4 linked regions of the Struthio camelus genome follow. The protein of the gene in region 1 purifies or fractionates together with the protein of each later gene. This does not show direct contact. Links are inferred from orthologs where the notes say so. Each region holds a gene or a part of one and is shown on either strand. Other genes may lie near its edges. The genes, in order: CUL1, CRY1, FBXO22 and FBXO33.

Evidence for each region.
Region 2: the proteins of CUL1 (region 1) and CRY1 purify together in Homo sapiens (affinity purification with mass spectrometry; 4 studies listed by BioGRID and IntAct, counting the BioPlex papers as one, with this or other methods). This does not show direct contact. The link is inferred for Struthio camelus from reciprocal best matches to the Homo sapiens genes CUL1 and CRY1.
Region 3: the proteins of CUL1 (region 1) and FBXO22 purify together in Homo sapiens (affinity purification with mass spectrometry; 11 studies listed by BioGRID and IntAct, with this or other methods). This does not show direct contact. The link is inferred for Struthio camelus from reciprocal best matches to the Homo sapiens genes CUL1 and FBXO22.
Region 4: the proteins of CUL1 (region 1) and FBXO33 purify together in Homo sapiens (affinity purification with mass spectrometry; 4 studies listed by BioGRID and IntAct, with this or other methods). This does not show direct contact. The link is inferred for Struthio camelus from reciprocal best matches to the Homo sapiens genes CUL1 and FBXO33.

What each region holds. Positions count from the first base shown.
Region 1 is NC_090943.1:62,576,550-62,584,374, reverse strand, and holds the start of CUL1 (cullin-1), read right to left. Parts: upstream 3,003-7,825; 5' UTR 2,879-3,002; intron 310-2,878; exon of another isoform or gene 192-309; intron 1-191. UniProt on the Homo sapiens protein: Core component of multiple cullin-RING-based SCF (SKP1-CUL1-F-box protein) E3 ubiquitin-protein ligase complexes, which mediate the ubiquitination of proteins involved in cell cycle progression, signal transduction and transcription.
Region 2 is NC_090942.1:61,486,237-61,494,159, forward strand, and holds the start of CRY1 (cryptochrome-1), read right to left. Parts: upstream 3,015-7,923; 5' UTR 2,827-3,014; intron 2,700-2,826; 5' UTR 2,646-2,699; coding exon 2,488-2,645; intron 1-2,487.
Region 3 is NC_090953.1:21,910,114-21,917,724, forward strand, and holds the start of FBXO22 (F-box only protein 22), read left to right. Parts: upstream 1-4,597; 5' UTR 4,598-4,651; coding exon 4,652-4,755; intron 4,756-4,923; coding exon 4,924-5,056; intron 5,057-5,638; coding exon 5,639-5,726; intron 5,727-6,179; coding exon 6,180-6,275; intron 6,276-7,611. Other genes in the region: UBE2Q2 (ubiquitin-conjugating enzyme E2 Q2), read left to right, coding at 704-770, 2,611-2,642. UniProt on the Homo sapiens protein: Substrate-recognition component of the SCF (SKP1-CUL1-F-box protein)-type E3 ubiquitin ligase complex that is implicated in the control of various cellular processes such as cell cycle control, transcriptional regulation, DNA damage repair, and apoptosis.
Region 4 is NC_090946.1:57,213,407-57,220,570, reverse strand, and holds the start of FBXO33 (F-box only protein 33), read left to right. Parts: upstream 1-4,148; 5' UTR 4,149-4,167; intron 4,168-4,318; 5' UTR 4,319-4,399; coding exon 4,400-4,830; intron 4,831-7,164. UniProt on the Homo sapiens protein: Substrate recognition component of a SCF (SKP1-CUL1-F-box protein) E3 ubiquitin-protein ligase complex which mediates the ubiquitination and subsequent proteasomal degradation of target proteins. Probably recognizes and binds to phosphorylated target proteins.

The sequences.
Region 1 (7,825 bases):
GGTGCGACCCCTGCCCAGTTTTCCCTCTCAAGACAGACCAGGTTAGACAGCACGTTACATACAGAAGCATCATCACCAGAGCAAAACAGCAGCACTGATCTAACCACTAATTACACTTCCATCTGATTCTGCCTTCAGCAAGTTAGAAAATCCCGGCTAAGAAGTGCAGTACACATAACTTAGGTACCTACCTGTTACATACAGGCAACCTTTTACTAGGACAATCTGCTCACGTCACATTCACAGCGCAAATTTTTTGACGTTGACAGTGGTATAACTACAAGTACTTCTTTAAACCTGTTTCATCCACTGGGAAAAATAAATACATAAAAACAGTTTCAATGCCAGAAGAGAAGACTCCAGGTACACTCAATTCACCTCACCGCTAACACCCAGGATGTGACTCATCATTAAGCTGGGTCTCACTGAAGTGAGAAGTTAGTTTTGTGCAACTATGTAAAAGGAGACACCACCTGAGAAACATAACTGATGAAAAGCAGTATTCAGAGATCTTGACATCTAAATTACAAAAAGAAAAAAAAAAACCTTTTCTTAATATCTGATATAATATCTGATATAACAACTTTCTCCGAGGATCCAATGTTATATCCATAACAATATGGCTAGGATGTAAGACTTTAAGCTAATAATGAGAATAAGCTGAAATCACAAAAGCCATCCTCACATCAGTTTCCAAATAAGGGTATGAATCATTTGAGCTTAAATTTAAATGATATAAATTAGTGATTCAATTTTCTCATGCTGACAGACTAAGTAACAGGCTCAAGCTATAAGGCAAGTGTAAACCAGTGTAGAAAGGATAAAAGTAGAAGTAGAATCATTTAGTTTAATCAGCACAACTGCTTTGTCAACATTGTATTGGCACATGTGTCTTATTTAGGTGCCTAAACCAAGAAACTGTTCCTCCATACGACCCCTTGATAGGCGATGGAAAAAGATTCCTCTAGGGGAGTAATTCAGACTAGAAGTCTAATTCAGTTACTCTAAGCTGTCTTCCAGTTACTTTCTCAATGAGGAAGAAACAGATCCTACTGTGAATAAGCTGTTAATGTTAGATACTCATTCTGGATTCTAAGTTAGGTGTATAAATTACTTCCAAAATTTGAAACTAGTCCTGACACCTCCATGGCACAACTACGTCCAAGGTTTAAATGGGACCTCAAATACGTCGTGGTGATGCGATTATAAAATGCAACCAATGTTAAGAACTAAAGCAATTCAGAAAGATGTAAAATAAGAAGTTGGGTAACCTACTACTGAGAAACAAAAGAAATCACAAAGCAGAAAGAAAAGACTACTTTCCAGTAGAGTCACTAGCAGAGACACAAGTGCCAGTGCAACACAGACTCCCAGCCACCAATACTCAACACTGCAGCAGTTCGCTGTGATCATTTCCTGAGGAAAAAATATGCATCTAGTGAGTAGCAGGGAGGCCCAGTGAGGCCTCTTAGGACTTCCCCAAAGAGAAACCATCCCAAACATACCGTACCTCAACTGAAGTACCAATTCACAATACAGCATTAAGAAACAATGCTTGGCACTAATTTAAGTTATACAGCCGCTGGAAGTTTCTTGCCCCCACAGACCACTCCCCCAGGTCCTACCAAAAGGTCTTCCAAGAGAGCTGTTTTTCTAAACTAACACTAGGGGGTGTGTGTGTCGGTGGAGAAAGGGGGGAAGAGAATGTGAATATACACAAACACATGTATTGGGGCAAAGACTGCTGAGGAAATCAGTAAGAAACAAATAAAATAAGGTAAAACAGGTTTAAAAATGTTTGTTTCGTGTTCTCCTAGTACTGGCTGACAAATACAATCTAGGCTGAAGTTCCTCCTCTCCTCAAAAGCACAGCTGGAGGATTTAAATACAAAGTGGGGGGAGACAGCATGGGAGTCGATGGAGAAAAGGAACATGTCAAAAGGAAAGGGTATTAGGTGAGATCACGAGGAAGGATTTAACAACAGGAAAATAAGATCAGAAGGGCAAAGAATCGCGGTGAAGGAAACAGCTACCGGGGAGGAAGAAAGCTGGAAGGGGGAAAAGGTAATCAGGGAATAACGATGATGAAAGAACACAACTCGAAGGGGAAACAAGAAGGATGGGAAGAGATGCCAGGAGAGACGCAGCCAGCTTCCAGTGCCGGACCAAGTTCCTGGGAGGCTGACCAGCTGCCTGTTAGCCACGACCAAAACCTGCAGGACCGCTCACCTGGACGGGGGCGACAGAGAAAAGGCTACTGGGGGGGGGGGGGTGGCAACAGCAAGGGGGCAACCAGGGCAAGCCCGGAGCACGACCCCAGCCGGGGGGGGGACGCGCGGGACGCGGCGCCGAGGAGCCACGGCGGCACCAGGGACACGCGGGGGTTTGTCCGGCCGCAGCGGCGCCTCGCCGGGGCTGCGGGGACACGCTGGGCCGGCAGCGGGGGGGGACATGGGGGGAAGCTCCCTGCAGCCGGGCCGAGGGCAAGGAGGCGGCAGAGGGCCGGAGCCGGGCAGCGAGGGGCCGAGGCGGGCTCCCGGCTCCGAGGGCGGCGAGGTATTTCCAGTGCGTAGCTAGAGGCCTCCGCGCCGCCGCCGGGCCCGCGCCGCCAGGGCCGCCATGGCGGCGCCCGCCGCCTCCCTGGCGCGGTGAAGAAAGGCAGGCGGGCGGGCAGGAGGGCGGGCAGGCCGGGCCGGGCCCGGCGCCCCTCGCCCCGCTGCCTCCCGCCGCGGCGTGACTCAGTGCTGGGCTCCGCTCCGCCGCCTCGGCCTGGGCCGCGGCCCTCCTGGCAGCTGCCGGGCCGGGCCGGGCCGGGCCCCACCACCACCACCGCCGCCGGGCTGGCTGCGACACAACGCCGCGGCCTCCCCGCACTCACCAGCATCGCGCGTCCCGCAGAGTCAGGCCGCGTCCGCCCGCCCCTTCCGCCGGGCCCGGATCTCCCTCTGCCGCCGCCGCCGCCGCCGCCGCCTCCCCCCAGCGCGGCCCCGAGCGCGCCCAGGCGCCGCCCCTCGCCGCGCCGCGCCGCCCCTCGCCCCGACCCCGGGCTCGGGCAGGCGGCCGCTGCCTCAGGGGAGAGGGCGGTTTGGGGAGAGGGCGGCCGGGGGGGGCGCAGCCGGCTGGGGTGCTGGCCCCGGGAGACCCCCTGGGCAGGCTTAAATTAAAGCAGCTCCGGTGGCGAGCTCCAGTGTGTGAAGGGAAAAGGTGAAACGCGGCAGCGCGTGTAGCATCGCCTTTGTGTAGGCGGCACGCGGGGGCGGCTGGTTTCTGCGTGTAACAGTGCGGAGCGGGTGGTGCGGCATCGTACCACAGTTAACACGGGCTTCGGGGAAAAGTAACGTTTTGGAGTCAGTCCTGTCGTCGTCTTTGTTCCGGGCAGCTGCGGAATTACGTTCGTGGAGCTGTGCTGCAAAAGAAAAGGATGGGGTTTAAGTTATCCTCACGTGGATGTTTGTGTTTTGCTTTGCCGAGGTTTTCTGTGCTGCACCATCACAAACCGTGCTGAGTGAGCTCCCCTGCAGAGAGGGGGTCGGGTTCTGGGTCTGAGTTGGGCCAAACGAAACTTGGAGCAATTCAGATGAGGTTTTTGTTGTTGTTTTTTTTTTTAACTCCTTTACGTTAGAATAAAGAACGTTGGAATTCATTCCAGAAAATGCGATAGTGCGATAGCTTCTAAGGAAAGAAAATGGGGAAACAATAGGGAGAAACAGAGAGACATTATCTTTGCTTTGCAAAGTGCTTCGCTTGCATCCTGGCTCCAGCAGCTGTGCGCCATTTTCAAAAACTGGCCTTTCTCAAAGTGGGTGGCCCTTAGTCACCTAAGTGCTTGTAAAATTATTTCCTTGTGTAATAACGCCTTACCTCAGCGCAACCCACTGAAGTGGGCGCTAGCAAACTCGTGGACACGGCTCTTCTGATGAAACAGTTCTGGCCTAACGCTCACCGCAGCGCTGTTTTAGGGGCTGGTTTAATAGCAGAGCACGGACGCCGTCAGCGGGATGGCATCGCAGCGCTCACGTTAGTTTGGCCCCTTGTAGACGTGCTTTGCAAATACCGCTCCTAGGCATGACTGACGTTTCTGGCTTGTTAGCACACGGGAGTTACGTTAGAGGGTAGCAGCGGACGTTGCGCTGCACACCTCATCAGCGCGGCCAGTTCTGCGCGGTGCGTTAAGAGCCGGGAAAGGACAGACTGGAGGAGAAGGAGGGGGGAACCAAAGGAGGGGGACTGATCATTAAAAATAAAGACTGTTTTTTCAACCTTGGAAGCTAATTTTTTAAATTGTACTTTACAAAATTTGTATTTATACAGAGGTAAAGCCATCATTGTTTTAAAATCCTAAAACAAGGGAAAGATAGGGCCGTCAATAAGCGAGGAACGACAAAAAAGCCTGACAGAAAGTGAGGAAGATGTGGGGAGGAGGAAGGTCTGAATTAGCACCATCATCATTGCCATCCTGCACTAGACAGGGCTTTTTGCCTCTGTGTTTAACTTTCTAGAAGGCGAGGATTTTCTTCTAGAGCTGCACTGTGATCTGTGAACTGCAGACACTTCAGGGAGGCAAGGCGCAGTTCTCTAAATTTTGTTAATGATGGTGGCAGCTTGGTTGGCATTGTGAAAAGGCAGGCCATGCAAAAATCTTCACTAGAAGGATTAGACGTCATGCCTAGCATGATTCATTCCTGCGTTCATTGAAAGAATTCCAGTTTCAGGGTAAGCGGCCACAGACGGAAAAGGGAATTGAATGCCAAAATAAATATCACCGAATTTTTCATAGCAAGATGGCTAGTGAATTTCCAATTGTCCAGCGCAATTCATATACTTTGTATGAAAGGAGAGAAGCTTCCCCTAGAGACTGAGGCAGCCACAATTTCAAGGACAAGTTTCATGAGAGAAATCCAATTTTTACAGGAATGAGCTTACACTGCTGCTGAGAAAGGCCTGTTTTGACGGTAACTTCCAGGTTTCACACCTGTTGCATCAGCAATGAATCAGCACACATCAAGCAAGAAAATTATCATTGTAATATTTGCTGTCAATGCAAGTGGGAAGCTCCATTTGCCATTGGCTGGTTTGGGCAAAGAGGAAAAGCCTGAGTCATTCAAGGACACAGAGGTGCAGTGCCTGCTGCTTTATTACTGCTGTGGGGAGGTTGTACGGGTGAGCAGGGACCCTTTCCCTGTTCGGTTCATGCACAGCCTGTGCTTGCTGTCCTTCTTACATCTACAATGCTTGTCTGAAAACAGCAATTTTAGCACCCCCTCAACACTGCCAGGAGGACCAACTAATGATAGATGATAACCTGTTTTCTTGCCACATTCTTATCAAATATGATTTCTCTTGTGCTGCCAGTGTACCAATGACTCAGGCTACCAAAACCAAAAAAAAAAAAAAAAAAGGAAAAATTCAAGGAGGCATTATTGCAAAAGTGTTTAGCCCAACAACATGACAAATCTGCTGTGCGAAATTTACTGACTCTGTAAGATATACAAAAGACAAAAGTAGTGAATGTGGTCAAATACACCACACTGCAATGTCTTACATAAACTACAGCCAGATCCTGAATAAAACAAATGTTTCTCTGATTATGAGACTGATGCACAGGAAAAAAACAAAACAAAACACAACAAAACAAAAACCTCCAGCTTGTAAATAATCTTAATAGTTTGGAAGAGCTAAGTGAAGAAAATTTCCAAGAATCGTTCCTATATGACAGCAGCTAGCCTGAGTGCCAAGCTCTACATGACACTGAAGTCATTACTACTGTTCAAAGAGAGTATACGATGAGAGGGCAGCTAATCGCAGAGACATCACTGCTAAGCTTGCGCCTCCCATAGAAGTGACTATAAAGCCTAAGCTATAGAGATTCCAGAGTGTATTTATAATTTTCAGTCAGTGAAAAGGTAGCGTATTTCAAACTCCTTTGGCTATGCCCATTGTGCTCACACAATTTCTGAAGGTCACAAGATTTCTTCTGAAGGTCTCCCTGAAAAACCATTCTGGATAACAGAAATCTTGCACTACTGCTCCTGTTAAAGTACACAGGTTACACTTAACGCTAATCAATATGCTTTCCGCTAACCGGTACATTTATCTGATGAATTACAGAAGGTTTTTAAAAGCTACTTTACGAAAAATGACCTAGTAAATATTTTCAATCATCAGTGGGTTTAAAGAGTATACATATGAAGTAGAACTTTAATCTGTTCATTTGTCTTTTCTTGCAGGTATGACAATATTAGTTACTATTATTCTCCTCTGGATTACTTAGTGCAATGCTTTGTATTTATGAGGAGGCAGTTGGTGAGTGAAACCGATGAAGGGAGCCTGCTCTTTACTTTCTGCCAAGAAAATTCTTCAGATGCTGTGAGCTCTAAGAAAAGCAATGTTAATATGATTTGCTGGGGGAAATAATATAATAGAGCTGCAAAAATAAATTATTAATGGGTAATATAGCCTTCATAACACATCTAAATACAAAAAGTCACTGGATAGGTACAACTTTAACTAATAATCTTGCATTTTGCATGATCTGGGAAAGTGAAGTGAGGGGAAGGCAGGTGAAAGGAAATTGAATTTGTTCAATGGGATCTGTCAGATTTTAAAAGAGGTCATCGGGTCCTATGCACGCTAGGTGGAATGGGAAAGGAGGAGAGTTAGCAAGCTACAAGTCTGAAAAAGTCCCTTGGGAGTGGACTTAGTGCTCAATGGCACAGGCTTTGCTCTGCACGGGAGTTTCTCATCTGTGAGCAGAGCTTTCCTGCCAGGCTTGGCAGCGCTAGTGGGAAGAGGCTGTGACTCTCCTCCCTAGCCTGGTAAATCTCCCAGTAAACATGCAAAAAAGTTTGCAGGACTAGGACAGTGGCTTTTTTTTTTTTCCTCTCGCAGTCCTTCATCCCTGAGAATAGATGGACCCAAGGGTCCTCAGAAACTTAATAGAGCCAACAGAGCCAAGCACTGCTGGACTTCTATTAGACTTTCTCTCAAATCTTTTTTTTTCTTTTTTTTTTTTTTTTGGATCTGAAAGCCAAAATTTCGTATTTCAGGTAATATGTTTATAATGTTTACAGCTGACAAAGCCAAAATTTCAGTGCAAAATTTTACAGCCTGTAGCTATGGCTGACAGAGAAGCCCTGGCCTGTGTTTTTTTGGTCTCAGGAAGTAAGTTGTATATGAATATAGTGGGATTAGAATGAAGTGCCCACATATATGCTCAGCACCTCTCACTCGCATAAAAATACGTTTCAAAGCATAACCGAAAATGTCTGAGTGAAAACAGTGAGTTCAGCAAGAGGTGATCAGTTAAACATTTAGGGAGGTCATTTGATATTTGTTAGGTCCATGCCTGAGTAAAGACTTTTCCTGCGAGAAGTCACAGCAACATATATTTGAAATCCATCTGGCAACCTGGCAAAGATGCATGGAGCTTTCTGGATTTCTTTCTGGATTTCTTTCTGCTGTGCTCATCTCACAGCAGATGAGAACCCCTTAATACACTATGTTGGGTTTTTTTCATAGCCAGATTACTGTGTATTCAATCATACATCCTCAAGTCTCAAAAGCAGGTGCTATTTCTAGATATCTGGGATCTGTTCAGAGGCCAACTTTTTTCAGTCTTTCTATATATCAAGAGCTTGTATCAGAAGAGATTTTTGAATGTATTTATATGTATCTCCTATATTCTTGAAAGCTGGATCAGAAACACTGATTTTTCTGAGAACACTCTACCTCCAGAAAAGAGCTTAACATGTTTTCCTGCTGTTTTTGTCCGCAGAGGGATTTGTCTAGGGTTTCTTTTGTATCTGGTGTTTTCAGACTTACCATT
Region 2 (7,923 bases), on another chromosome or scaffold:
TGACAGAAAAGCTTTGCAAGAGGAGAGAGAGCACCCGAGGTGTTAGGTTCCTAAACTCATCAGAACATAAACTCTCTTAAGGTAAATCAACCCATACATATGGGAGGATCACTGTAAACCCACAGCAGAAGACTAAATTTAGATTCAAGTTCCAGATGCTGAGGGGCTTCTGCTCCTAATCTCAAATAAAATGTTTTTTGACCAATTCAACACTCTATTCCACATGCATATAAGCAAGGAAGTCATCCAGTGACCAAGGAGCTAAAATGCTTGATTATCAATACCAAGCACTGAATGAGACTGGCAAATCAAATAAAAAAGTATCACTTCACAGGTCTTCAGTATGCATACTACAAATGAGCTATTCTTAGCCAGCTGTAAAACACTCACATTGTAACTACTGGCACCTAAACTGGTTTAATTCCAAACTATGAACTGTTCATTGAAATAAGAATTTACTGAGATCACTCTAGTAAGTATGAAGTTCCAGCAGCTAGTTATTTTATAAAACTCACTTTTTTTTTTAAAAAAAAACTTGAGAAAACTGGAAATCTCACAAAACCGGACTATGGAAGGAGTGAGATCTATTCAAATCCATGCACAGCATGTGCCTTGGGGTATTCAAAATCCAGGATATTGTTTGAAGTGCTTTGAGGGTAGGGGTGTTACAACTGACCCTCCTTCTATGATTTCTTCATTTTTGTAGGGAGAAGAATCCCCTCCTCAAAAATGGACTGAAAGATAAGTAAATACCTCTCCTTGAAAAGAAACCCACCCTCTCTGACCAACAACTAAGAGATGTTTTACTTCAAATGTAAAATTCAGTGCAAGGATCGACTGTCTTTTGTACCACTGAGAACCGTTAAAGTAAATGCATTTGTTGAGCATCTGCTGATTTATTATGCATAAATGTATTCTAGGACTGTATTAAGTGAAGATCATACTAAACAGCCATTGGAAAACTAAGGCAGTAGCATTAGAGAGATGGATTCCCTTTTGCTAGGATCATAAAGTTCACATTTGTCTATCACTCACTAGCTCACAAAATATGACCAAGAATGGTTCAGCTCTCTCTGTTTTTTCAGTTATGAAATACATTAGAAACCTGTGAAGTATTCTGGACACGCAATTTGGCTGCATTCTTTTAAAACTTAAGTAGCTTTTCACACTTTATCTGTAAAGACTACATACAACCTCTGAACTTTGTTTATAACGTTCAGATTTGTTACACAAGAAAAATTATCTCCTTCAAAACAAGCAAGAATCTTTAAAAGTCTCTGTAAAAGAAGTATACATTATGATCCTCAGATAAGGGAATTACCTTACAATTATTAAGTGGTATGCACCTCGTTCTTGTCAATGAAAATGGAATAACCATCAAGTTAAAGATCACAGAAAGCCTATTCTTAATATTTGTATCTTCCTTAAACCAGAGATATGGCCATAATGAAAACTTCAAGATGTCGAGAGAGAGAGAGAGAGAGAAACCAACTTCCTGGTAAAGTATTTAATGATCTGGGAGAGAAGGTATTACAGCTGAAAGAAATAATCCTTAAGAAAACTGAACTAAAAAAACAAGTAGCTCTACTTTGACAGCCATCCCATCATGACATTGGGTGCAGTCCAGTTATACTGTGCTCATTCCATAATTAGTCAACTCCTCTCAGCATTGTGGTCTGTGCAGACTAAGTTCACGAGTATCTGAAATTCCTGCCATTCTTAGATGGATGACAGAAGAACTCTACCACATTATCAGTTATTTTTTAAAAAGAAAATAAAGTTATTACTGCTGTTTAATGCAATCTCACAAGATATGCATGCACAGAAGTCCCATTAACTTCTGTCTTAAGATGGCATACGTTTCCATACTGGATGCCAGCCACCGCTCCACAGCAAAAAGTTCAGCTTTATATTTAAAGGAGGAGCACACCTGGCCCAAAGGTGCAAGAACTGCATGCTCCCGAAAGGAGCACCGAACACCCTATCCCTACGGGGAAGATAACCTGAGAGTTTACTTCTGAACTCATCCAAAAGCTTCCCCTCTCTCTCTCCCACAGGGGTACGTGCAGGAGCGCAGCACTGCAAGTGGGGGCTCTGGCTGCCAGCCCGGGCTGCTCGGGAGGCGGCTGCCGGGCCGGCTGGAGGCCGCCGCGCGGCTGCGGCGGGAAGCGCGGAGTCGCCGCCGCCGCCGCCGCCCCCTCCCTTCCCCCTTCCCCCCCCCCCGCCGCCCGCCCGCGCGGGGCTGACGCGCTGGTGGCGAGTCCCCCCCCTCCCCTCCCCCCGCGGCAGCCGCCGGCCGGGCTGGCACGCGGGCTGGATATGTAACGGCCGCCGCCCGCGGGGACGCGCGCGGAGCCGCGGCGGGGCAGCGGCCCAATTGGGAGGCAGCCGGGCGGCGCGGGAGGGCGGGGATGGCAGCGGGCAGCGTGACCGCATACATAACCGGGGGCCTGGGCCCGCCGCCCCCCCCCCGTCCCCCGCACTCACCGCCACCTGTTGATGCCCACGTTGGAGGAGCCGGCGAACCAGGGGTCGAGGATGTAGACGCAGCGGACCGTGTCGGCGCCCTGGATGCACTCGCGCAGCGCCGGGTTGTCGTGGAGCCGCAGCCCCTTGCGGAACCAGTGCACGGCGTTCACCCCCATGCCGCCGCCGCGGGCCCGGCGGGCGCTCAGCGGGAGCCGTCGCCCGCGGGGCCGCTCATGGCTCAGCGCCGGGGCGAGCAGCGGCCGCCGCCCCGCCGGGAGAGGAGCGGGAGCGGCGCGGGGTCCCCGGGGCCGCCGCCGCGGGGAGCGGAGCGCTGGCGGAGCCGGGACGCGGCCTCACCTCAGGCGGCTCTAGGACCCGGCGGAGACGGCGCCGACCGCCCGGCGGAGACGCATCTCCCCGCGCCGCGGGGAGGGGAAGAGAAGCAGCGGGGCGGAGAGGTCCGGCAGTGGCTCCGCTCCCGGGAAGCAGCGGCCGTTGGCGCTGCTGCTGCCTCGCCGCTCGCCCTGTGACTCTGCGCGGGGCTCCACCAGCCGCCGCGCCCCGCCCCCCGCCCCTGATTGGCCTGCCCCGCCCCCACGTGACCGCCAGCCCTCACGTTTCTGAAGTGTGTTTACTAGCCGCGGAGGGAAGAGGCGGCGGGCAGAGGCTCCGCCGCGGCGCGCTCGGCCCCGCTCCCGCCAGCGGCGGCGGCGGGCAACCGGGGGAGCCAGCGGCCCCGGCGGGAATCCCACCCGCCTGGGGCGGTGCGAGGGACCGGGCCGCGGCGGGGAGGGGCGCCGCGGGTAGAGGCCGCGCCCCCTCCCCCCACCCCGCGCGGGGCGCCGGGCCCCGGATGAGCACGGGGCTCGGAGGAGGCCCTTGGAGGCGCCGCTATCCTGGCGGCGCCAGGGGTTGGGGGGGACATGTGTGCGCACGCGCGGAGGGGGGGCGGTGCCCGTGACCAGTTATGTATAACGCTCGGCGCGCAGAGCGCATGCGCGGTCCCGCCCCAAACTCGTAACGGCCGCGGCGGGGGTGACCGGGGGGAGGCGGAGTTGCTGCTGCCGTCTCCTGTGTGCCGGGACGGGCCGGGACGGTTATGTAAGTATCCACGTAGGGAGCCCAGCGCCGCCGAGGAGCTCCGGGGCCGCACCTCGGCCCGGCCCGGCCGCCCTCGCACGTCGCCCTTCCCCCCTCCCCCCCCCCGGTGCTTCGGCCAGGCGTCCCTGCCTGAGGAGGAGGAGGAGGAGGGGGGAGGCGGAGGAGGGAGTTCCCCCTCATTTTAAGATACGTTTCGTCGCTTACGAAGCGGACGAAGTAATTTTACCCCTTGGCCGCAGCGGTACGGAGGTGGTGTGCAAAAACGGGGGGCGGGGGAGGGGGGGGACACGGAACAAAGGCAGAGCAAACGCGGCTGTGCAGCTCGCCTGTGCCAGAGCTGTGGAAAGGAAATACGTCTTCAGGAGAGTAGTGAGAAGTAAAAGGAGTTAAAATGGTCTCTAGCACTGTCAGCAGCGTCATTATTAGCAAATGGTGTATATCTAACATGTCGTTCCCTTTTAAGTACAGAGCTAAAAGATGCCTGCGTGGTGCAGCTTTTCTTACTTTTACTCAGGTCTCAGCCGCCTGGCATGAGGTGTCCTACTGATGGGACTCAGTATAGCAATTTCAAGGCCCTACAGAGCAGCTCTGTATGCACGTCCGAAAGCAAACCTTCGTGTATGAATTATAACTTAGCCTACGGCTTCTAGTGCTTTCCATAAACAGCAACAGCAAGACAGATCTCACTACAAATAATGACTCTACAGTAAAATGGACATGCACTTGCAGTACTTACCTCCCTTGACTTCCGGAATTCCAGAGTAGGAAAGTATTTTAAATCTCAGAATTGGAGTTTCTACTGAAATATTTTTTCTGCTTAGGTATGAAAAAGTCAAACCCACAGTCAATAAAAAGTAACACATAACGCATCGTGCTTCCCTTGATGCTCTTCTTTCCTCACCTTGAATGACTTCATAAAATGTCCATACTGTTAGCAAAGCTGCTAACAGAAAAGGCCCTAACCATGATAAGAGCCCTTTGCTATTTGATATTGTAGAAACCTTCTCTCTAAAAAGTATGGTGGACCACCTTTCCTTAAGCATTTAACAGTAACTTAACAGTAGTATAAATTATTATGAGGTTTTCCACTATTATTTTGTCATATATGTAACATTAGATTGCACGGCTCATCATTCTGGTCCAAGAGGAACCTATGGGTTCCTTGCTTGTTCAGTTGTTAAGAAATGTCAAATCTTTGGTGACTGATTTTCAAATAAATAAAGTAGAAAAGAATGAAAAAAACATCTCAGTAGTTAATACCCACTTCCCATTAAATTCCTTTTAATTGTATAATATTTGAGCACACTGAAGAAGAAAGCTTATTTTCAAGGAAAGTCACCTTACGATATAGTTTTTATTTAAAACTTCTAAGCTGCTTTTTCAAGCCTCTCTAAGATCATCAGTCAGAAGCCTTGTATCTTATGTTCCCTGCTAGCTCCTTACAAGGCTGTGACACTGAGCAACAAACCATGGCCCTAAAGAAAGTTCAGTGTCAACTGATCTGCCTTCTTCAAAATGTTAACGTGTAAAACTATTAAACTGAGGTGGAAGCAACCCTCCCTTGCAGGAATTTATGGTTTCATAACCAAATTACAACCATGAAAACCATCACTCTGTAAGCTGTTTATCACTACAGATTAAATAACAACTGTAATTAGCATAGCAGCATGTCAAAACACCGTTCAGCTCTATCCATACCTTCCATTCTCGACTGATTGTTTTTGATTTAAAAAGTGGAAGGAAGATGAAGAATATATTAATTAAAATGTCAGATCTCAAGGGAAGAGGCACTCTCTTCAAGTTGGTGAAGAAAGAAAATAGAATGATAGTTAATCAAGGAACTTGTACAAGTTAAGCCCACTACTGTGTTCTCTTGTGGATAACTTTTGAAAGAACAGTATTGCTAATTCAGCTAACTTGGCTCACGCTGTGATAACAGAAATCCAGAGAGTGGAGAGGAGAAGGAATCAGAAGGGGAAAAAAAAGACAACATGAAGGCATGAAAGGACAAAATAAAACATCAAGGAGTAAACAGAATATATTGTGTATTAAAAAATCAGATGAGTTTTTTATATCCATGTGTCTTAACTCCATTGCATGCAGTTATGTCACTCATACTCACAATTAAGTGTTATTGAAACAGCAGTCATGTAGGAAACCAAGCGTGAGCAAGGTCCGTAGAGCATACTATAGCAATTCTTTCACACTTTGCTCTAATACAGACTATTGAAAATGTAGCTGACAAAAGAAGCGTTTTCAAAGCGAACAGTCCTAATTTTCACTCTTTGAAGTACAGCATTATGCAGACCTGAGTTAGATGGTTTTAAAAATGCTAACTGCCTAGAAAAATTGTCTAGTCTAGAAATTATTTGCATCTTTGCCTATTTTTTACTCTAAGTTTAGAAGTGAACTAAAGAAGTGACCAGCTGAACAGAGTAAGATACGGGAAGCAGATTCTCACCGTCACAGCTCATTTAGCTTCTGCAACAACATTGGCAAAACTGTTAATCCATTGACTATATACATGACTTTTATTTTTTTATTAGGGATAAGTACAGTGATCATATGGAAGAAAATATACTGATATAAGAGAAGCTTCCTATGATTACATCGTTGTTGCCTCTCAGCAAAATTTGATCCTGAAAAGATTTTTTCAGTGTGCTGCTTTCCAAAACAGTAGAATAGTCTTTGCAGAGAACATATTTGGTATCAGGAGCACTACTGCTTTTGATCTCCTGAATAGTGTTATTTGGTAGCTATTGCACTGTACAGGGTGTAAGTCTCACTAGCACTGTTCCACTTGGATAAACGCGAGAAACAGGCCATCTCCTTTACAGAATCAACAGGATCATCTGCTTCCCATCGGAACACAGGCACTCAAGTAACTTAATTTTCAAATGTTTGTTTCTTTGATACCATACTACTACTTAAAAATGAGGGATTTTGCTTTATTTAGTACACTAAATAGTACTCGCTTGAGAGCTGTTTAAATCGAAATACCTCTTAGTAGGTCACTTTCAAACATTTCTAATCATAACAAAGTCAATATTTTACCAGGTGGAAGAAACTCAGGTGTTTTTCCATGATAAAAAGACTGCAATCCAATTTACCTCACTCCGATTAAAAACACCGTGAATCAGTGCATGAACTACAGCATACTGAAGTCGCATCTGGAGGATGGCAAAGTCCTTGTTTACTGCAAACTCAGAATTAAAAGTACAGCCACTTAATAACCGTACTTCAGTCCTGTGAGATCTGTTGAGTCAAGCATTTTTTTCCCCTTTCTCCTTGCACCAGTAAATGAAAACATGACGAAGCAGAACTGACGGGAGCCAGGCACCCTGAGAACCGCGTGGCACCAACCCAACTTCCCCAGCCTGTTTCCATCCTGATTACAGCTCCTGCCACACCAGGGAGGGACTGACGGTGACTGTTGGCCTTTTAGAAACCCCAGCACATTTATGCTCCGGGTGCCAGGTGTGAAAGGGAGCCCTGCAGCCCACGCCGACACATGGACTTGCTCCTGTGTGCTCACAAGCGCTCCCGTGCTGCTGCCTCATGGACCTCATGGGCCACGCGCAGCTTCCCGGGCACGAGAGCACCTCCATTTGCTCAGCCTACGGTGCTGGCGAGGCCGTTACTTTGACGTTTCACTGGAAAGCAGACAAGGCTGAAACGACATACGCCAGATTCAGACAGGACGTAGGGCTTTAGAGATGCTCTCTTGAGTTTGGCCTTCACCCACCGGGCGCTCCCGCGGCAGCTCTCATGGCTCCCGCCGCCCGTCTCGTGAGGAGGGGGAACGAGTGCCGCCATCGCGCCGTCCCTTGGGGCTCTACTCCTTCACCCAGCAGCTTTTCAACACGCAGGCTGACTTCAGCCGAACTCCCCAGCCGTCTCGGGGGCAAAACCTGTTTCCGCCAGGGCTGTGAAACCTGGCGGCCGGGCAGGCGACAGGGCCCTCGGGCCGGCACCAGGCGCGGCGGCACCCCAGCCCTCACCGTGGCCAACGGCCGCCCCTCACGGTCTCATCCTGGCGGGGAAGGAGGGGGGGAGGGGAAGGCGAGGGGGCACTGCAGGGCTAAGGAGGCACCGCGGCTACCGGACGGGACGGCGGCACTTGGTCCTCGCGGGGCGCACAGCCCCAAACCCGTCCCTCGAGCAGCGCCCGCCGCCGCCTGCCCCGCTCCGTCCCCCCCGGCACCGCCCCGCCATGGCGGCCGCGCCGCGCCGCACGCCCCGCCTTCCCCCCTCTCCCCCCCGGGCGGCACCGGCCGTTGGGCCCGGCCGCGCAGCGCACGGCGGCGGCGAGCCAGGTCAGGGCGGCGGCGGCGGCGGGGGGTGGGGAGGACC
Region 3 (7,611 bases), on another chromosome or scaffold:
GTTCTCCTTTTGCTGGACTAAACACCTGCAAAGTGTTATGAAAGGGTGAAATATAACACCATGCAAATACTTCTGAGCCAGCCATTCAGCATTAGTCTAAAACGTCATTGATTTCCAAATGTGCGTGCTGGTAATGTACTTTAAAGGACAAGTCATATTGGAGTATTAGATGCTATTTTCAGAAGAGGCTTAAACATTTCTTTAAGACAAAAGAAATCGTGCCTCAGATGCCACTTTTTAGGTAGTGATTCAAGGATGGGGAAGGTGGTAGATGAGTGTCCTGTGAAGTGTGATTCTGACTCTATTATTGAAGTTATCGCTGTGTATTAGATTTAAAGGGCTTTTATCACGATTCCATCTAGCCTGGTAGCTGGTCGGCTGACCAAGGCAGATCTATGGTCAGAGATGCCTGAAGCCCCGATTTCAGCTGATAGCACACACTTCTGACCTATCTCAGGTTGTAAACCCTTTGAAATAAGGGCCTTTCTGACAGCAGGGGGTGTGTAACTTATTAGCATTATGAAGGAGGAGAGATGAGAAGATAAAGCTATTTGCCTTGTACTTGAAAGCCAGGCATGTTGTAATACAGTGCATGTTTTTTATGAAGCCCACTGTAGAGTTTCATCTTAACACTGTTTTAAGTTTCACACGTTTTGATGCTGCTCCTTTATGTTGGTGTGTGTTTTTTTTTCCCCCCTTTCAGAATCAATATAATCTAGCAAGAGCACAGCAGTCCTATAAGTCACTAGTACAAATACACGAGAAAAATGGTATGTACGTTCTTGCAACTTTTGTTCTTGGTCAGTACAGCAGCCTGGGATTTGGTGTTTGACAGCAGTAAAACTTAAAAGTGCTGGAGTGTCTTATGTTGGCTTGGAGAACCACAAATAGTGTTTCTTTTCATGTCATACTAGGAAGACAAAATTGCTTAAAGTAACTTGTTACATTCTTCCAAGTTGGAAAAGTTGCAGGCGTGTTGTTAGTCAATGTTCCCTGTCTTCCTACTATCTTTTGAAAGGTAGCTTAATTTCATTTTTGCCCAATTGTTCTAGTAACTTTACTGTGTCTCAAAGTGTCTTATTTGCTAGTGAAGTACCTACTGGAAGCTTGTCTGCCCCTTTCCTTGAAAGGTGTTATCCGAATAATGCAAGACCACAGTAGCAGTAATCCAGGAAGAGTTAAAGCGTAAAGAAAGGCCAGAGACTAAAAAATATGAAAAGTCCAAGTGAAGTACGCTATCTGGAAAACTGCAATGGAAATGGGAGCCATATGGGGTGTTTTTCCCTCCTATATAAAGCCAGTTAATGGTCTCTCAACTGGCATAAGACAAGTATTTCTTAAAGTGCTTCGGGTATAATTGCCTTTTATGGCAGGATGGGAAGGCAACAGATGATCTGAGGCTCTGGAAAGTTTAAGTGGCTTAGTATTGTCAGATAAAAGTGGTCAGCGGAGCTGGTGTCCTGGTCTTATGAGCAGGGAATTAGTCCCAGTTCCTGCTTCAGTGATGCTCTTTGATCCAGGTTGGACGCAGCATCCTCTGGGAACTCAGGTGGTTGTGAACGAGCTTATTTCAGTGTGACCGTAGTGAATGCCTCAGTTTCCCCACTTCTAAAATGAGCATAGCGACTATACTATTTGCTGTGAATATACTACTGGGAAATGAGTGCAATATTGGGAAGAAGAGCAAAGATAATGACTTGAAGATGTTTTCCAATTTTATGATACATTGATCTTGCCATTAACTGAGTCTTTTGCCTTTTTAGTTTGCTACCAAAGCCAGCATGGCTCTCTGTTTACCTCTAGCTATATGCTAGCCTTGACTACAGTGATTACTGCCGCATCAGAAGCGCTACACAAAGCATTCACAGCATTTATTGCTGCTGCGAAAGGTGTCTTTGTCAACTTACAGCTGCTGCTTATTCTTTGGGATAACATAAATAGGTCCTGTACAAAATTGAGAGGAATTGAGAGGACTGGGAGACCTAAGACTGGGGATCTGGAGTTGGCTAGATAAAGCTGCGTGTACTTGCTCAGATAGGGTTTGGCACGGTTAGCGGTTGAATCGTATCTGGAGGCAAGCTATTCCGGTGACGCTTGCGAGCCCATTCCTACACCAAGATTTGCAAAAGTAGGGTAAACCTTTCAAATGCTTGCGTGTGCCCAGCTCTTCAACGGTGAAGACAGGATTTATCTATACTTATCCCAGTGCAGTCATGTTTGTACGTCTGTATGCATTAAGTGACTGGAATAACCTGGGGTTTTTACCTGTATCCCACTTGTTTTTATTATGGCAGTCTTCCTCCTTTAACAGCTTCCTCTGTTGGTGTCCCTCTTGTCCAGCTCAGCAAGGTAGCTGCTGCCATGTAAAACAAAAAACCACCTGAGTAGTTTATTTCCATACACAGATACTGGGTCTGAGCCTGGCATATGCCAAGTGCTTTATCTCCCTCCCACTGGAGACCACTAGCATTTAGGGCATTGATTCCCACTGAAGTGGTTTACTTGTAAGAGGGAAGGAGCCAATTTAGGTCTCCGTTTCCCACAAATTCAACAAAAGATCATCTTAACGTAGCAATGTCAGTGCCTAACGCGTTTCTCTCTTCTCCATAGGCTGGTACACTCCTCCGAAGGAAGATGGTTAATACTGAGGACTGTTGCATACCTGGACCAACATCAACAAAACGAGCTCTTTTTTATGTTTTCCAACACACACAGACTCAAGCTATGAGTGCCCCTATAACAGCCGTACTGAAGACTTTAGCTATTAGATAAGTTAGTGGATAATCTGTCAACTGACACTTAAAGTATAAGTTACAGCCTTACCATTCCGCTCTTCTTAGATATCTTGGACTGAGCAGTTTTGGCCTTTACTGTATTTGTTCTTATGGATTAAGCATATTTGGGCCAACCCTTCTCTTCCCTCTTTTTTATTTAAAGGCGTAAACTCCCTGAAGCAGGCTATCAAGTTACTAAAGGTCATTAAATAGGAGTTGTTCACACACTTTTGTGTATTTCTTACCTTTTGCAGGATGCAGACCGCAGAGACTTGCATTATATTGTTTCATTTAAAGCCAAGAAGTTTAATACATTGTTTAATACTGTTTTAGGAAATGTCAGGTCTTGCAAATCACGGTAGTTTTTCTGGTCTCAAATGACAGCATTTGTAGTATTTCCAAATTAATGATATAGGAAAAACACATGTATGTTAAGTCATTAAACATTTTTCATGGCTGTATGAGAATATGAACTGTTTCTTGGAAAAGATGCTCCTTGTTTAGATTATGTTGTTTTTGGGTTTTGTTCCATTTTGTGTTTTAAGCAGAGCAAGGCTGTGCCAATAAAACCTTGTAACTAGTCACTTCCACTGGGGCGTCAGAACTTGCTGGGCTGTTCCTGCTACTTGGTGGCTCGACCTACTTAACGAGAGCCGCAGTATGAAGCTTGAAGTTACTTAAAATACTAAAAGCCTTTTTAGGCGTTCCATTTTATTAACGGGTTGTTGCAATCATTTGTAAACTAATGAACCTATAAAGTGATTGGCACAAATCGAGACGAAAGTCCTTGAATGAAAAGTTTTATATAAAAGCTACACTAAAGTACAAAAATGCCTCATCTGATTCAGAGATTTAAGAAACGTTGCCATAGTTGTGAGAGTGGTTTTGTTATTGAGAGACTAATGGGATCTGTTCATTCTTTATTAGGAGATGAATCTGGGTCTGTGTAATTACACTATTTCATTGCCTTACCTAAATCAATTCTGTTTTGGTTGTAGTACTAGTTATTAGGCCTCGCACCCCTCCGGGGATGAATTAAGGGTGCGTACCATGGATTAAGCACTTTTTGGAAGTCCAGAAGCATGTTTTTGTTATGTATTTGGTTTTTTTTTTTAGTTGACTATCAAATTTGTGCTCATTTATCAGGCACCCACGGGTCCTTGCTCATTTGCTTCTAGAACCAGTTTTTAGCTTGAAAGGAAAATCTGAGAGATTTGGCACTGCTTCTGCTACCTGTTGTTTGAGATATCGCTCTCGGAAGGAGGGTGGATGACTTCCCGGCCTTTCTGCTTACTTGGTTGTACATATTATATTTGTATGAAATCCCGGTAGCCAGGCGCCGAGATAGCGGCCGACTCGGTGAGCGGTGCAGTCCCTCGGAGCCTGGGGCTGGGCAGCCCTCTGAACGCGTCCGCGGGCCCCGGGGGCGCGGGCCGGCAGCTGCGCTCGCCATGCTCCCCTCCTCGTTGGGGGGGTCTTTTCCCCTCCCTTTTTTTCTTTCTTCTCCCCCCCCCCATTGCAGAATTACTTGGCAATGTACAGTAATTTGTAAACTTGCATCAAGTTTATGAATAAAAACCGTTTTAAGAATGGCGTCGCTTCTGTGGTTATTGTCGGGGGGGGGGAGGGGGGTGGAAATGGAGGGAAACCAGCGCGCCCCTCACCGCGCCTCGGGGCGCTCCAGGCCCCGCCCCGTCCCCGCTGACGTCACCCTCGCACGCGCCTGCCCCCCCCCCCCCGCCGGAAGGGGAAGCTGCGTCAGGTGGCGCGCGCCCGCCGGGAGCCGCTGTCGCCGCGCGCGTGACGCGGCCCCTGGCGGGGGGGGGAGGGAGGAAGGGGGGGCGGAGGCCGCTGCCGTGTCGCCGCCGGCCGCGGCCATGGAGACGGACGCGCGGGGCGCGGCGGTGCTGGGCGGCCTGGCCGAGGTGGTGGAGCGCGTCCTCGGCTTCCTGCCCACCAAGGCGCTGCTGCGCGCCGCCTGGTAGGGGCGCCGGGGACGGGGACGAGGCTGGGGCGGGCGGGCGGCGCGCGGCGGCCGTTGGCGGCTGAGGCGGCGCGCGGCGGCCGTTGGCGGCGGTTGGGGCGGCCGTTGGCGGGGGGTGGGGGGTGCGGCGCGGCGCGGCGCTGACGGTGCGGGCCGTGTTTGCAGCGTGTGCCGGCTGTGGAGGGAGTGCGCCCGGCGGACGCTGCGGGCGCGGCAGCGCGTCGCCTGGGTGTCGGCGCTGGAGCCGGGCCCCGCCGAGAGCCACGCGCTGGTGCGCGCCCTGGCCCGCGAGCTGGAGGTGGGTGCGCGGCGGCGGATCCCCCCCTTCCCCCCGCCCCTGGGCGGCCGGATTTTGCCGCGGTGGGAACTGCCCCGTAGCGGGGAGTGCGGCGGGTTGGTTGTGCGTCACGCAAAAAGCTGCCTCGCTTTAAGCGTCCTACTTGGGAGTCTGACTTGCCGTTTTGCTGTCATTCAGAAACGAGGAGCAGCGGGCGTGCTGAAAGCACTCGCTACGAAAGCAGCTGGGTGCATATCAGCACCTTTGTCGTTCCTGATGCCTTCACTTGGTGTCTATAATTGGGGTATTGACCCCTTTCTCCTGCTAGTTCACTGCTGACAGAGGTGTCATCAGCTGACAGCTTGTTTGGCAAGGGATTCTCAGAGGCTTAATATCTAGCAATTGCGTAGAGGGGTTACCTAAACAAAAATGGAGAAATAGCCAAAATGAATTTAGTCAGTTTTTTCTCTCCTGTCTTTTCTCTCCTGTCTTTTTCGAAATCTCCTTTTCCTGTTTTTTTCAACTTAGCTTATGTCTTTGCACAAGGGAATGTTGTGAGAAGCAGCTAAATAGCATAATTTTGCCCCTTGCATCTTTTTACAGAAAGTGCATGTGCTGCCACAAACTGTGCTCTATATAGCAGATGCGGAAACATTCAGCGGACATGAGGAGTGTCACGAACAAAAGAAAGGTAACTGTTAAACTGACTTATTCCTGCTTCAAGAAGTACTTGTAATAGAAGTACAATATGTGAAGGGAAAGTCAGCTTAAATTGAATTCTCTGTGTTTAAATTGCAAAGGAAAGTAAGTCTTTTGCAAAAAAAAATAAATGCAATCCCATAGATCAGCATTTCTGTTATGAAGCACAGGCCACACAAATGTGCACTGTTTTACATAGATTTGCATTACACAGAGGAAGGTACAGTGATTTACTTTCTCATCCTGTTCAGGATGTTGATTTTGCTCTGTATACCCATAGCGGTGCATTCCTACAGATAGTACAGGTTTGCCATGTTAACTGGGCAGCTGTTGATTGGCAGCATTGTTTAAATAGGATGCAATTAACTGCAAGGCTTGTCCATTAGTGCTCAGAAAAACTCACCTTTACTTCTCTGTGCCTTCTTTTTTTCTTCTTTTTTAACAGCAAGAAAAAGAAACAGTAAAGAAACCGCAATTGAGCTAGAAAAATTGTTGCCAAAGCGATGCCAAGTTCTTGGACTGGTCACCCCAGGGATTGTAGGTAGGACGAAAATGTGTGATGTGATGAGAGATCAGCCTAAAGGTGTTTAGTATATCACAGGTCTTTTCAGACTCTTCTTTATCACAACTCCATGTGTTTTTGAAAGCATAGTCCTGCAGACTGAATAGAGTATTCTCACAGATTATTGCCATGTACTGCTCTCACCTTGTTCAGTCCTAGCTTCAATTTTAAGGAGCTCACACTGTTGCTGCTAAAGCATGCGTATGCCTTAAATTTTTACTTCATGTGGTACAGTTGTCATTGAAAAGGTCGATTTAATTTGCGGGGAGGGGGTAGATATAGCAGGGATTTCAGAGATACTGTAAAGCCATTGGGAATTGAATGTGAAAGCCAATGAACGGGTTTATTCAGAAGACGCTTGGTGAGCCTGACAGTTATAGCAGACTTTGCCAAAGTCAAATGCAACTTCATCATTCCCAGGCAAACAAAATGATGGCATTTCTGTTTGCATTGTGATTGTGCTGGCCAGAGACACAGTTACTATGCCTGCTTCTAAATTTTTATTAGTTGGTACCTTAAGGTAATTACATTATATTTCTTGGATGTGTATATATTTTTTAAAGTTACAATGTGAAGAGTCGTACAAGAAGGTCACAGAAGGTGACGTTCTCAGTGTGTATCCACTTAGTTTGGAATAGCAAGAAGCATAAATAGTGACTATGGAAAATTCACAGCTTCCCTTGGAGGTGTTTTTCCAGTACTTCGTTTGTGTATCACTAGAAACTTTTTTCCTAATTTCTTACCTTAATTTCTCTTCCTACAGTGTAAGAAATTTTCCTGTTCACTGTGAGCATGGAAGACAGTTTACACCCTGCATCTGGGCACCAACTTGTTATGTATCAAAACTTGTTGTAGTTTTCTGCTTAGTATATTTGCTTTTAGGCTATCTGTCTCTATGACTGGAGTCTTTAAGAGTCTTGACATACTTGTATCAGGATGAAACACGAGTAACTTGGGCCTCTGATGTGAAGGCGCGTGGGGGTGTAGACAATTTCTTGAGGCCACTTCCAGCTGTAGCTGCTGTTCCAGCTGATTCTACTCCCACTAGAGGCTGTTCGTGTACTTCTATATCCAAATGGTTGACGATTTCTGATTTTTTTAGGGTTAGCTTATTTGCAAGTAGATTATCTCTGTGTTCTTCTATCAACACTATCCTTTAGCTTTCTTAGTTCTTTTCTTCCTTGTTTTTCCTTCTGATGTACTTACAAAGTGTAACCATCACAGCCTCTAGTCTGCTCAGACAAACCACCTGCTTCTAGTTTCTTCAAAAGAAAGGTTTTACGTTCTTTTAGTCCTGGCGGCTTGTCTCTGGACC
Region 4 (7,164 bases), on another chromosome or scaffold:
CTATATAATACATTTCTTCTTTAGACTACAAAGAAAAATAAATTTGTCTGCTCTCATTTTTGCTTACTTGGAAAGGGCTAGTGACAGGAGAAGGAAGCAAACTACAGTTCTCCTTGCATCACAATCACAAATCCTATTGAATCAATTCCAAAACATAATGGTAATACTGTATAAGCAAAGAAAAAAAAAAACCTAAACTTGAAAGCCTTCCCCTAGCACTCCCAACAAGCAGGTTGAGCAACACGCTCAGTACAGGGACCTCACCCTCTGCCAGCCGTCTAGCGACAACAGAGTAAGCACAGCGAGAACAGAATAAATCAGACTAGGAAACAGAAACCGCGGCTGGGGGATACTCCCGTTCGCTCGCCCGCCGCCCTCTCTCAGTCTGCACCCGGCATGGCGGCGCCCCGCGGGCCGAGGCTGCGGGGGCGGCAGGTCCGGCTCCCCGGCGCCTCAACGGGGAGGGCCCCGCGGGGTGGGAGGGGGGGGCGGCGGGCACCGGCCCCGCTGCCGCGGGTCGGACCAGGACTGCGGGGGGGGGGCGGCCCGGCAGCGGCCCTCCCCCCCCGGGGCAGGTGCGCCGCCCCTCCCCCCCCCCGCGGCCGGTGCGCCGCCGCGAGGGACGGGACGGGACGGCCCCTCCCCACCCGGGAGATCGCCCCTTCCCCACTCGGGAGGCCGGCCCTTCCCCCGCTCCGCAGCCTGCTCGGCCCCGGTGCCCCGCAGGGGGGCGGCGAGTCCCGGGGAGGCGGCCCCGGCCCCCCCCCGCGGTTCTTACCGGCATCTCAGAGCCTCCCGGATGTGACGCAGTGTCGAACCGGAAATGCCAGGGCTGGGGGTTTCGCCCCACCCTTCCAGCTCTATGGTAAGCGCGGCGAGGAGCGCCCCTTCCGCCCCGCTGCCCTCACTTCCGGCCGCCGCCGCCGGGCCCTCGGGAGGGGGGAGGTGTCGCCTGGGCTGCCGGGCCGCCCCGGGAGGGCCGGTGTCGGCTCGGTAAGTGGGCGCGTGTGTGGCGCCCTGAGCGCCGCGCTGCGGGAGCGCCTCCCGCGCCGCCTCCCTGGCCGCTGGAGGACAACGGAGCGGCAGTTGGGCGCTCTGCTTTTTCTCCCAAGTAGGGTCCTCGCTAGCGAGCTGCCGCTTCCGTTCGGACCCGCACCAGGGCTGCGGTGTTTACTCCGTGATTCATCTTAAAGTACCCTTTCGAGTTGACAGATTTTTTACAGATGCAGATTAGGTAGGAAGCTTGCAGTCAAGTTCAACTGTTAAGTGCTGCACTTACCTTTTCTCGATATAAATCATCACAAAAGACATTATTTCAGCTTGTTACAGCACATGCAAAAGCACTAGTTTCCCGTTAGTATTTAGTTTGCATTTATGTTGTGCTCCAAATTATAAGTGAACTTCTTGCAGTGGGTCATGGAGAACTCCTAAGTTCACAGCAGCTCCTTAAGTGAAGCATATCAGGTTGGTAAACTCAGAAACCTAACGTGTCTTAACAATGCACCTAACAAAGAAGAAGGGGCTGAGTGAATAATTGCCAAAGCCTGTACCTCATTTTTTCCCTCATTAGCCTTATCTTCATATATCTAGGCTAGCAGGATAGAGCTGCTGAACCAGCGCTGTTTACTGCCTTTCGTCTTGACATTAGCTGCTGAACTGGTGACCTTCATGTCCAGTAAACTTTAACTTGGCTATAGGTATTCTGTAGCTTTAGAAACACACGATTCCTGGCTCCTGTGCCAGAGTTGCGCTGAATGAGCACTGGCAGGCCTGTGTTGGCGTCTGCGCTGCTGAGTAATTAGAATCCCCAGCTGTGTGGAAACCAGCCAGTGGGAGCTGCTGAGGCGGGCAGAGCCTGGTTACTTGGGACTCAGTTGTGTGCACAGCTCAGTTCTGATCCACAGTGGTTGCTCCTCAGGTCTAACTGTTCAGCTCATGGAGGGCTAAGAACTTTGCCTCAATAAAAAGACCCTTGACCAGCTATCTGGTGGAATTGAGCAGTAACTTCCTAAAAGTCTGCAAGCAAGTTGGCTAATCTTTTTTTCTATATATTTACCATGAGTTTGCAGTCACTGCATTAGTACTCACATAAGCCTGCACCTTGAAATCAATTCTCAGTCAAGCTAAAGTACGTTTCTGATGTCAGTGGTGGAGAAAACTGATTCAGCATCCCCAATTGGCAGCCTTATAGCTTTGGTTGTCTTGGCATCATAGTGGCCATGCAAAGGGATGGGGTCAGAGACCTCACAAAGGCTGGTACTATAATATCGAACACTTAGTTATAGCTGAGATGACCTGAAGCTTGAAACAGACCCATTTATTCACTTCAAGTCTACAAAACTGAAGTTATGAGCTACTGAGCTTTAATTTTTAGCATAACCTCAGTAAGCTGAAGAAGCTGAGTACGTGACCATGCAAGCTGCCTGTCTTATGAGAGGCATGACCCCAGCATGCCACATTTGCTGATCCAGTATCATCTAACAAAGGTAACCAGAAACACAGAACTAGTAGCTTCATAAACCATTTTGTCCTGATATCACGTCAGTAATCTCAGGTAATGAATTGTAAAACTTGATTACAGATTACATTAAGATAAAGATATTTGGTAATCCTGGAAGTCCTTTGACTTATTATGAGCCCAGCAACGTAGGGTTGTTGGGCACATATTAAAATATGGAACTATGTAGGAGACTAAGTTCCTTGTATTTGCTTAATTCAGCCAGATGAGTTCAGATGCTTCAGAACTTTCCATCTCCTGCATCTTTACTGCCTGAGGACCTGAGGGCTTAATCTGACAGGGAAATGTGCAGTAATAGTTGCGCAGTACTTCCCTGAGTCATTTATACAGATTCTTATCATTCACACAAGCATGTGAAACAGCACTTGTCCCTGACCAGAGAGGAATTGTCCAGCTGGGAATTTCCCATAATGTTACTTTCTGCTGCTCTGGGATGCTTATCTCTAATAAAAGAGAAACAGGAGGTTCAAATTTATTTCCCCTGTGAACAGATTCAAGAAATAAAATGATACTATTCTCCCCCCCACACACACTGCGAGACAGGGAAAGTGATGGAAGATGGAGTGAATGGAGAGATATGTTGTATGTCTGGCTGTTCATAAGTCTGTTTATAATGTGATGCCATATTCTGAATGCCAACAGGCTTTATGTCTCTTAGCACATCTTTTGTTTTGTGTGTACATTTCTGAACAAATATACAGTATTATGTAAACTCTTGTATTATAATAACATACAGACAGTACTGGATTTTATTTATTTCAATAAAGTTTTAAAGTAAATTCATAAAGCTTATATGAACAATTGAGATTAAATTCACTTTGATGTTCAGCCTTTGCAGAATGAATACTTACCAGATTTTTGAAATCTTTCTGAGTCTGTTTGCACAAGACAAGTATCTTTCCGCTCCTGCACGTCATGTCGGAATGGGCATTACAAAGCCGGCAAGCTTTAAGAAACGGGTAAGATTTCAAAATAGGACACTGGACCACTTGCTAGCGTATCAGTGCAGGCTCATATCCAGCCTTCATCACAAGTCAACTCTTCGCTATGCTTAGCATTTCCTGCACAGTCAGCGTGTTTTCTGCAGTCAGGGTTGGCATCCTGTTGAGGTAATTTTGTTGGCTGAAATCGGAACGTGAGGTCAGGCAGCAGTACCAGCGCCTGCCATGAATCGAAATCCTTTTCCTTCCCCCCCGCCCTGCCACAGCCTGCAGGAGGAAGGAAGTTTCTCCCGCCGCCGGCAGCTCTGAGGCGCTCCTCCGCCAGGCGCCGCGCCGCTCGGAGACGGCCAGGTGCCGCTCGGCCTTGGCGGCGCGCTGCGCGGCGGCCCAGCCCGGCCAATTCGCGTTCGGCTCGGAGGGCGGCGGCGGCCCCTCATCGAGGCGTCGGCGCTGCACGGCCGCAGGGCGGGCCGGGGGGAGGCGGCGCCCCGCTAGCGGGCCTGGAGGGGTTAGCGCCGCGCCGCGCCGCGCCCCCCGCCGAGGCGGTTGGTCCGGCTCCGCCTCCCATTCGAACGGGTGGTATGTTCCATTCCCCTTCCACCCCCCGCCGGGGGTGGCTCCGCCTCCCTGCGCGGCGGCCTCGCCCCGCGAGAACCGAGATCGGTGCCGGCGGGCGCGCTCACCTCACCCTCTCCTGCCGGCTCGGTGGTAGGGTCCCGCCGCGGCGCGGTGGGTAGGGCCCGCTGCGCCTCTCGTCCCCCCCCGGAGGCGGCGCGGGTGGTGCGTCCCGGCAGTAGCCGCGTCCCGGCCGGCGCCCGCCCCCTCCGCCTTGTCATTGATGTTGTTGTTTTTGTCGCAGGAGCCGGAGGCGAGGCCGGGGCCGCCGCCGCCTGTGGCTGCCGCAGCAGCAGCAGCAGCAGGGCCCGGGCCGGCGCCAGGCATGTCGGTGTGCGGGGAGGCGGTGGGCGCCGGCTCCCTGCCCAGCGAGCTGGTGGTGCACATCTTCTCCTTCCTGGCGGGGCCCGACCGGCTGCGGGCCTCGGCCGCCTGCTCGCACTGGCGGGAGTGCCTCTTCTACCCGGCCCTCTGGCCGCGCCTCCGCCTCAGCCTCCGCGTCTCCCCGGCCGAGCGCCCGCGCCTCGAGTTCCTCATGCGCAAGTGCGGCTGGTTCGTGCGCGAGCTCCGCGTCCAGTTCGCCGCCGACAACTACCCCAGCGGCGGCGGCGGCGGCGGCGGGGGGGCGGGCGAAGGTGCCGCGGCGGCGGCCGACGGGGAGGCGCCGCCGCCGCCGCTGTGCCCGCGCTGGCTGGACCTGCTGAGGACCTACCTGGAGCTGGTGCTGTGCGTGCTGAGCAGCGTCCGCAACAACAGGTAGGGCCGGGCGGGGGGCGGGGCGGCCCCTCGCCGCTGAGGGGGATTTCCCGCCGCGGGGCCGGCGGCGGCCGTTGCCCGGCCGGCGGGGAGGCGGCGGCGGCCGCGCGGGGCAGCGGCCGGCGCCGCGGCCACCCGCCGGCGGCGGGGGGAGTCCAGCGCTCGTCTCTGCCCCGACGGGGGCTTGCTGGGGCTTCAGAAAACAAGCGGAGCCTGCAGAAGTGACTCGCTGAGCTGCTGCGGTCCGAGCCGAAGCGTGGCCGTGCTGTGGGAAGTAACCTCCTCCTTACCCTTTTCCGTAGCGTTAAGGCGAATATAAGTACCGAAGTTTATTTGGGAGGCAGCTAGGCTGCACAAGCCATAAACGAAACTATGAAAGCTTCGTTGTCTCCTTTAAGGAAAGAGAAATGCAGCTCAGATGCAGCGCTTCACACTGGGAATTTGGATTTGGCGTGAAACAGGAGATCTCTTTGGCCCAGTTCTGTGTGACTGAGAAAAATGAAACTTGGGAAAAATTAGTGGGAGGGTTAAGGTTGTAGTATTGGTGATGTGTTTCTGGAGGGAGAGGAAGGAAGTACGGCTCTTATTAAAATACTTAACGTTTCCAGCCATGAGGGATCTTGCTGTTTGAAGACTGAGTTTCCATGCCAGCTCTTGTGTTACCTGGTAAATTGAGATTTGCTTCGGCTTTAAACAAGATAAAGTTTTTATTTATTGCAAAACCTTCATTTAGGATTGTCTTAAGCACATTAAACTTAAATAAGTTTTTTCCTGTGCTTTGGACTTAAGATGTGTTTCTGCCCTGCCCTTTCACAGATTTATTTTGACTAAGATACTTAATTTCCTCAGGTTGGAGTTCTTTAGAATTAAAGCACTTACATGCTCTTTATCTTATGTGCGTGTGAAGACCTTTTTTTTTTTTTTTAAATCTGTTCAGAGATCGTCGTAGTACATGGCCTTTAGGCAGCACCTGAGACAGGAAAGCAAGAATTTATTACAGTTAGGTAATGATGCGTTTGGAAAGCCATGCAGATTTCGGGATAGGAAATGGCTAATGTTATTTCCCCTCTGCATGCATACAGTTCCACCTATCTAGAAAATAGGCTGCAAATATTTTGGGGTGTCTTTAGACCAAGTTAGAACTTCTGGATGGCTGTTGGGAAAGCTCTGCAGTTGCATCATGGTATGGCCACCCGCTCATCTTTGATTCCAGAGGGATTAGAGAGTAGTTTGAGGCTTTTCTCTTGCTACAATTCAAAATAAAGAAGCAAGACCTTTAAATGTAATTCCTCGTTTGTTCTAGATGGATGTAAATGTGATGTGTGAGGTCTCACTTTCAGTTCCTTTGCTGTGCTGTGCCTAGCAGGCCAATCCTGTGGTGTAACTGTGATGATTGAGAGCTGCAAACCGTATTTCTGGAAACTAGTCATTGGTCCAGGCTCACTTTTGTGTATAATTTATTTTTTGCCGTGTGAATCCTCTGTGCGTGAATGGTGATTGTCTGTCTTCGTTAGCCTTTCCATAATGCTGCTCTGCCTTTAAGAAGCTTTTGTTTAACTGTTGCTTTTGTGGGGAATCCCACTCGTGTCATAAGTGAAAAATGGTGAAGTGGTGTTGGTAACTTATCAGATCCAAGGCAAATACAGTGACGCGAACGTGGAATTTTTAAGTGAACAATCTCCAGAAACTATTACCTGGGTTTTTCATTGGACAAACTAGACGTTTCTTACTCCCTCTGTATCACTACAGTATGAGACTGTCAAAATTAAATGCATTGCAAACAATCTTTTAAATATATTTTTTATTTTGAAAAAGATTCATTGTTCATGACCTTTTCAGAAACTTGTATGAAGATGCTTGTTTTCTAAAGGTATTTTTGCAGATTCTGTACGCACTTCACTGCTGAAGACTATTGTACAATACTTAGTAGAAATAATTGATTCTCCAGTAGCTATTCTCCAGTAGATTAATACAATTCTAGTGGTAAGATACAGGTAAAAAGTTATCAGCTTTGACAGGATTTTGCATTACTGTATTTTCTTTCTGTCTTCAAATCATTTGCATTCTGCTCTTTTGTTTTGAAATGAATAATTTATGACTGGGGAACACAGAATACCCGGTTATTACAGTAGGCATTTTTTGATGAGCAATTGAAGAGTGGGGGGGGGGGGGCAGAATTTACTTTAAACGCTTGACATTCTATTCAAAATTACTTTCTGCATAGACTCCTTTTTTCCTCTTGAATAGACAAGCTTTAGTCTATTTTTGATGCTCCCCCCCACCTTTTTTTTTCTTGCAAGGTAACTACCAGTAGCTGATTATTCTGCATACTTC